2 linked regions of the Macaca mulatta genome follow. The protein of the gene in region 1 binds, or shares a complex with, the protein of each later gene. Links are inferred from orthologs where the notes say so. Each region holds a gene or a part of one and is shown on either strand. Other genes may lie near its edges.

Evidence for each region. Proteins that work in one complex are often made in the same cells at the same time.
Region 2: SNRNP40 (region 1) and SNRPD3 share a complex: the UniProt entries of both Homo sapiens proteins name them as parts of the U4/U6-U5 tri-snRNP complex. The link is inferred for Macaca mulatta from reciprocal best matches to the Homo sapiens genes SNRNP40 and SNRPD3.

What each region holds. Positions count from the first base shown.
Region 1 is NC_133406.1:209,580,193-209,583,838, forward strand, and holds part of SNRNP40 (U5 small nuclear ribonucleoprotein 40 kDa protein), read left to right. Parts: intron 1-2,105; coding exon 2,106-2,228; intron 2,229-3,646. UniProt on the Homo sapiens protein: Required for pre-mRNA splicing as component of the activated spliceosome. Component of the U5 small nuclear ribonucleoprotein (snRNP) complex and the U4/U6-U5 tri-snRNP complex, building blocks of the spliceosome.
Region 2 is NC_133415.1:28,770,495-28,774,900, reverse strand, and holds the start of SNRPD3 (small nuclear ribonucleoprotein Sm D3), read left to right. Parts: upstream 1-1,546; 5' UTR 1,547-1,564; coding exon 1,565-1,690; intron 1,691-4,406. Other genes in the region: protein GUCD1, read right to left, coding at 1-117. UniProt on the Homo sapiens protein: Plays a role in pre-mRNA splicing as a core component of the spliceosomal U1, U2, U4 and U5 small nuclear ribonucleoproteins (snRNPs), the building blocks of the spliceosome.

The DNA.
Region 1 (3,646 bases):
CCTGACCTCAAGTGATCCATCCACCTCGGCCTCCCAAAATGCTGGGATTACAGGTGTGAGCTGTCACACCTGGCCTGTTTAGTGAATTTTTGAACTAATTTTGTAAAGTTTGTATTCTTTGTCCTGTGTTACCACTGAATTCTTTTTTTGTTAGCTTAGTGGTCAGCTAGTGAATGACAGAAGTTTCCTAAATTACCTACAACAACAAGAACAAAAGCTCTCCCAGTCTTTGCAGATTGTCTTTTGGTATGTTGGAGCCTGCCTTCAACTCCTTGCTGTGCAGTTTACATCTCTCCTTAGCTTTCACTTCCTGCTTGTGCAGAGCCTGAAGGTCAACCAGAGAGCTTATGGCCTTCTCAGATCTTTTCTAAGTATGTGCCCAGCCCTGGACATGCAAGTGGTCTAGATTGCCAGGGATGGGCCAGGCATGGTGGCTCATGCCTGTAATCTTAGCACTTTGGGAGGGCGAGGCAGACAGATCACTTGAGGCCAGGAGTGTGAGACCAGCCTGGTCAACATGGCGAAACCCTGTCTCTACTAAAAATACAAAAATTAGCTGGGTATAGTGGCACGCGCCTGTAATCCCACCTACTCGGGAGGCTGAGACAGGAGAATTGCTTGAGCCCGTGAGGTGGAGGTTGCAGTGAGCCGAGATCGCACCACTGCACTCCGGCCTGGGTGACAGAGGGAGACTCTGTAGGTAGGTAGGTAGGTAGGTAGGTAGGTAGGTAGATAGATAGATAGATAGATAGATAGATAGATAGATAGATAGATAGATAGATAGATAGATAGATAGATAAAGATAGATAGCCAGGAATATGTCGGTGCTTTTCAAAACTCTTACTCCCCAAATTGTCTCCTTCCCCAGCCCTTCCTCCCAAGGTTTTTGGTTTGTATTTTTGCCCCAACTGTTTTTCCTTGCCCCCAGGCACCAGAGGCTAATAATATCCTTTCCTTTAAATGTTTTCAAGGAAAGTTCCAAGTTAGACAAAATAAATATAAGTCCTGGCCGGGCGCGGTGGCTCACGCCTGTAATCCCAGCACTTTGGGAGGCCGAGACGGGCGGATCACGAGGTCAGGAGATCGAGACCATCTTGGCTAACACGGTGAAACCCCGTCTCTACTAAAAGTACAAAAAACCAGCCGGGCGAGGTGGCGGGCGCCTGTAGTCCCAGCTACTCGGGAGGCTGAGGCAGGAGAATGGCGTAAACCCAGGAGGTGGAGCTTGTAGTGAGCCGAGTTGGCGCCACTGCACTCCAGCCTGGGCGACAGAGCAAAGACTCCGTCTCAAAAAAATAAATAAATAAAAAAATAAATGTAAGTCCTTTGAGCTTATCCTTCAGGGAGCCACCAGGCAAGTAAAAATAAACAATTTTTATTGTTTATTCTTTGACAATAAGAAATAGGCCCCCCTTTGCTTCCTCAGTACTAGGACACCATACTGGGAATATGGGTTATCTTCAAAGCTGTTGCTGAGCGGGAGACAGAGCCAGCACAAGTTAAAACACTACAAAACCCTTTTACTGGGACTCAGGGGTTTTTTGTTTCCTTTTTCCTCATTAAGGGTTTGCCTGGTTACTATAAACTTTTGATTAGTTATGAGAATTCCGATAGTTGATTCTGACAGGTTTTTGCTGGTTCATTTGTTGTTTTGTGGAAGGACAAGCTTTTGTCATTGTTTATTATACTATTTTCACTGACGTACCCGCTCTCTATTTTTTTAAATGTGGGTTGCAGCCCACTAATGAATTAGTATCTACAGTTTGAAAAAATTGTCTGATATCCTTGTTGTCCTAAAAAATATATGAACCAAGTAATTAGTGGAATTCCATTCTAAGAGTATTTGATTTAACTCTGTTTATTCACTTTAACAAAGAAGTCTGAAAATATAACTGAAGTTTTGTTTCACCAGCCTTCAAATGTCTTGGCAAAATTGAGGACACTGCTTACCATGTGTGTTATTAGGATATCCAGGAGTTAGTGAAATGGGATCCCAATTATAGATGTGTTCATGTTCACAAAGTCCTTGTACTTAGGGATATTTGTACTGTGCAGTTACTTCTTAGAATGATATTAATGATAGACCCTGTTGTCCTTTGCTTCAGCTTTGGGACATCCGGAAGAAAGCAGCCATCCAGACATTTCAGAACACGTACCAGGTGTTAGCTGTGACCTTCAATGACACAAGTGATCAGATTATTTCTGGTGGAATAGACAATGATATCAAGGTATGTTTGATGTTTATGATATATTTCCATTTCACCCATCTGCACTTAGAAACAAATTTTTTCAAACTTCTGAAATTGTGGTAGCTTTGCACTTAATACCAACTGAAAGGAAAATAGTAATTTGGAACTTATTTTCTTTTTCTCCTGTCTTCATTGACTTCCTAAATTAAAGGTTGCATTGCAGATCTTATAAATGCTGTCAGGGACCAGGCACTTAATGTGAAGTGTGAAGTCTCTGTAGGGGGACTATGTAAAAAATAAAGAGTGCATTTCCTTTTAAAGACATTCAGAATCTTTTTTTAACCATCTTAGTTTAATGGGAGCAGTGAATCAGTTTGTGATTCTGTATCCTCATCTCTCACTGTGTTTTTCTTTTTGACACTATGGAAAGGGAGTTTTCTAAGTTTCTCTAAGAATGAGAGAAGGTAATGATATTAAAGAGGCAATAGACCATATGGCAGTACAGTGTAGCTCAAACTTTCAAGTAATTGACTTGAGTTCTAATCCCAGTTTCACCATTTTCTAGTTTTGTGACTTCAACACCTTCTTTAAGCCTCTTTTTCTTGTGTGAATGCTGAGGGGGTAGTGATAACAAAAACTACCACATGGCATCTACCACATACCATTGTGGCGATTAAATGAGCCTGATTGATTAGAGCACTTAGCAGAATTCCTGGACATAACAAGTGCCAGGAAATGTGTTATTTTGGTCCTGCACGGCTTCTGTCTTCCTTTCCTATTGGCTTCCTTGGGGATCTTAACGACTTTGACCTTACCTTCTGCTTTATAGTGAGAATAGTAACTGTCAGATAAATACTCAACTTTCTGTGTTGTCCTTTCCTAGAAGTTGTACTGTATTTCCATCCCTCGTTGTTTCCTTTGCTGTTACTTTGGATGAAATATCCTTGCTTTTGGCCAGGTGCGGTGGCTCACACCTGTAATCCCAACACTTTGGGAGGCTGAGGCAGGAGGATCACAGGGTCGGGAGACCAAGACCATCCTGGCCAACATGGTGAAACCCCGTCTCTACTAAAAATACAAAAATTAGCCGAGTGTGGTGGTGTGTGCCTGTAATCCCAGCTACTCCCAGTGAGCAGAGATCACGCCACTGCACTCCAGCCTGGCCATGGAGCAAGACTCCATCTCCAGAAATAAAGATAGTTTTTTTTGTTGTTGTTGTTGTTTTGAGTCTGTAGGCCAGGCTGGAGTGCAGTGGGGCTATCTCAGTTCGCTGCAACCTCTGCCTCCTGTGTCCCAGTTCAAGCAATTCTCCTTCCTCAGCCTCCTGAGTAGCTGGGATTACAGGCATGTGCCACCATGTCCAGCTAATTTTTGTATTTTTAGTAGAGACAGGGTTTTACCATGTTGGCCAGGCTTATCTTGAACTCCTGACCTCGTGATCCACCTGCCTCAGCCTC
Region 2 (4,406 bases), on another chromosome or scaffold:
GGGGCTGGAGAAAGACTCAATGCATGAACTCTGCGGGATTCGGGGAGGGAAGAAAGCGGGAAGTTTGGACCACCCAAACATCAGCGTCGCCTCACTAGCGCCTGGAAGTAAGTTCATTAGCTGCCCCCTCAATGTGCATGCTTCTTACATTCTGTATCTCTCCAGGTGAGTGTTTTTCAAAGTTTCCAGGCAGTAATCTTGAAGTCATTTCCTATGAGTTTTTTGAATCTTGAAGTCAAATCCTATGAGGGTTTTTTTTTTTTTTTTTTTTTTTAAAGTAGAGACGGTTTCACCATGTTACCCTGGCTGGTCTCGAACTCCTGGGCTCAAGGGATCCACCGGCTTCGTCCTTCAAAAGTGTTGGGACTACGGGCGTGAGCCATCGCGCCCAGCCGGTCATTTTTTAAAAAGTTCTTTGCATCTCTGCCCCCAGCTCCCTTTCAGGCAGTGGTCCCGTCATGCTTTCCACACTGTTGCAGCAGTTTTAACTGTTGCAGAAATTTTAACAAGTTTCTCTGCTTCTAAACCTTACGTTAGATCCATTTTGTAAATAAATGCTGCTACCTTTTCATTGTGTCATTCTTTACCTATAATTTTGCAGTGGTTCCCCACTATCTTCAGCATAAAATCTAGGCTCCTAAGGCTGAAAGCCAGGGATCCTCACCAAAGGAGCCTGTCTTTTCAACCTCATGTTCTCCTGTCTTAGGTGCACTTAGGTTCCAACTTTGAGTCGTCGCTCATGTCAATAAAAAGTTCACTACTTGATGCTTTTAATTAGGTCAAGTCAGGTGCTTTCCCTTATTTTCCTCCATGACGGGCATTTCCTGCATATAGCACGTTGTCACTTTGATATTTTCTCAATATCCTTGATGGTAAAGTAAGGGAAGGGTTAAAGAGCTGCATTAAAAGTACAGTCTCCTCTCCTAGATATGCATGGTCCTTAGGTCTGTATCTGCTCCTTCCGTAGGGTAGCCACCAGCTACATGTAGCTGTTGAGCACTTGGAATATGGCCACTGGGATTGAGGGACTGGGTTTTTTATTTTAATTCTATTGTGTTTTAGTTAAGTTTAATTTAAATAGCTACATGTGGACATGAGCTACTGTATTGGACAGCTCAGGCCTGTGTTATGATTGTCAAAATGTAATAATCTACAATTAAGGGTTGACAAATAACAGTGCAACAGATTAACATTCCAATCCCCCTCCCCTACACACACAGTATTCGCTAATGGTCCTTTAGCTGAAGATTAAGGGACATAGGGTAGCAGGGACACATGGTCGATGGGAGATGCTCTCTTTTCATTCCTGTTTTTACTTCTGTCCACCCCACCATTCCTCCTCACCCGACATCTTGCACATATTTGCCAGATAGTTTCCTCCAAGCCAGGAGCTGAGCTTTCTTTTTTCTTTTTCTTTGATAGAAAATGCAGCTTTGGCGTTTTTGCTAAGTTTTATGGAGTGCCAGGCCTTGAAGGAGGCATGACGTGTGCCGCATGCCTTCTCAGACTCTGAAAGATGAACTGACTGTTGTCTCTTTCACTGTAGAGCTCTCTTCCTGCCAAGATGTCTATTGGTGTGCCAATTAAAGTGCTGCACGAGGCCGAGGGCCACATTGTGACATGTGAGACGAACACCGGTGAGGTATATCGGGGGAAGCTCATTGAAGCAGAGGACAACATGAACTGCCAGGTATTCTGCTTTGCATGTGAGGCTGTGTGGGAGGAATGGCCCTGTGTCTTGAAGGACAGAAAGGTGTGGGTTGGGGGTCTTCTGTAAATTGTTCTCATTCAGCAGTGATTTCCTGAGTGCCTAACACATACCAGTCAGGTGCTGTTATAGGCTCTGGGGATGTGGGCATGAACAAAACACATAGTCTTGAGGCAGAAAAGCCATTTGGAGATTTGGAATATTTTACTTCGCCTTTTTTGTTTTTTCCATCCCCAAATTTGGGGACCTGTTTGGGAGAAGTTCCTTCAGTAGAATCCTTCAGGTTCAGAGCCATTATCCATTTGCCTCCACTTGCTTTGCAGTTAGGAGAATCTTCTCACATACTGTGTTTGTTTCCCTTTTCTCTTGGAGGAGGAGTCTCATTTGATTATTGCAACTACCTTGTGAGGTAAGCAGGTTTGGTGGTAGTCTTGTCATCCATAAAATAGGGAGAATGAGATTAAAGGACTCATCACTCTGATAGTAAATAATGGAGTAGTTTCTTGATACGGTGTCCTTCTCATGGCGCAGCTTTGCCTTTTGCATAGTCATCTGAATTTTTATAGCATTGTTTTTCAGTTGTATCTTCACACTTTCTTTGTTCTTTAAACCATTGGTTAAGAACTTGGACTTGGGAGTCAGAGAGAGATGTGGGTTTGATTCCTAATTATATGACCTTAGATGTATTAATCACTCAGTTTTCTCATCTGTAAAACGGGAGTGTTATTATTTTGGGTTCTTTGATGTAGATGCCAAGACAGAATTATGCAAGGTATTTATTGGGGGAAATGACAATAAAGGATAAAGGAACAAGGAAACAGTAGTAGGCAGGGAAATTTTCAGTCCGTGATGCTGGTCTGACTGGTGAAACGAGAGGGGAAAGAAGGAGGATTGAGCAGGAAGAACCTTAGACTACAGTGTAGTTTTGAGGAAGTCTCAGCAAGGCAGTGATTGCTCATTAGAAGAATCTAACATGGGGCAGAAATGGGCAGACTGGCACCCCTGGTGTGTTCATTCCATTGGCTGGCAGCCTGGGGAGACAGTCTCTCTCCCCAAGTTGAATGCCATGGTGGACTGCAAAGATGGAGATTGTCGGCTGCCTTCACTCCTCATAGCCTGTTTTCTTTTGGAGGGAGATCTGAGCAGCACACCCTTAAGACTGCCACAGGGATAATATCCACACCCCCAGGACTTTTACAAAGATCAGATGAGCTATATGTGTGCAATAGCTGCTCGGTGCCTCACATACTGTAAGTGTTCAACGTATGGTGTTTACTGCTTTTTTCCAGATGAGAAGGTCAGAGAGGTAAAGCGTCTTACACCACGGTCAGGTATCCTGACCATCTATTGGTTTGCGCCATTCATTTATTTGTGATTTTTCTGTAGCTTTGAGCGTCTATCATCTTCCTGCGAGGTTGACAAGCTTGGTCAGTTCCCTGGATGCAGAGAAGTAGACCTCTGGTGACTCAGGTTTATTGCATCATTGTCAATAGATCAGTTTATCTATTGACAGTAGATAGGTTTATCATCTCTCTTTCATATATCCAGACCTCTGGCTTAAGGCATGCTCATCCACTTTAAGGTACTTTAATTTGGTGAGGAGAATGCAGGACTTGGGTTAGTGAATCTTAATGGGTTTGTCATCTAGCTATATGTATTTGGACAACCTGCTGGGTTTCCAGGGCCTTTGTCATCCCATCCATAACATGAAGGTGTCTAACCAGATAACCTCGGTGGCCATTCAGAGATGCAGTCCACGTGACACAAAGTGCACAGAACTTGGAGTCAGACAGACCTGGAATCAGCTTGCAGCCTGCCACCTAGGGTGACTTGGGGTGAGCTTTGGACCTCCTTCGTCCTCTGGTCCCTCTTCTAAGTCAGGGATAAAAATAGCTCCTTGGCTTCAGAAGGAACCATAGTGCAGAAGAAATGAGTAGATGCATGTCACATGCCTGACCAATGGTGGGGGGGCAGCCACCTGCCTCCCTGCTTGTATTTGTATGCTAGTGCTGCCAATAACAAAGTTTCACAGATTGGGCAGCTTAGACAACACAAATTTGTTTTCTCCTAGATCTGAAGGCTGGAAGTCTGAGATCAAGGTGTTGGCAAGGCTGATTTCTTCTGAGGGATGTGAAGGAAGGATCTGTTCCAGGCCTCTCTCCTTACTTATAGATGACTCTCTTCTCCCTGTGTCTTCACTTGGTCTTCACTCTGTAGTGTTTCTGTCTAGATCTCTTCTTATAAGGATACCAGGCATGTAGAAATAGGGCCCACTCTAATGACTTTTCTTAACATAAAGTTTTTTTTTTAATAAAGTTTTTTTTTTTTTTTTTTGAGATGGAGCCTTGCTCTGTCGCCCAGGCTGGAGTGCAGTGGCGCGATCTTGGCTCACTGCAACCTCCGCCTTCCAGGTTCAAGCGATTCTCCTGCCTCAGCCTCCCAAGTAGCTGAGACTACAGGCACCTGCCACCATGTCAGCTAATTTTTGTATTTTTAGTAGAGACGGGTTTCACCATATTGGCCAGGCTGGTCTCGAACTCCTGACCTTGTGGTCCACTTGTCTCAGCCTCCCAAAGTGCTGGGACTACAGATGTGAGCCACCATGCCCGGCTTGCCTTTTTTTTTTTTTTTTTTTTTTTTGTGAGACAGAGTCTCACTCTGTTGTCCAGGCTGGAGTGCAGTGGCACAATCTCAACTC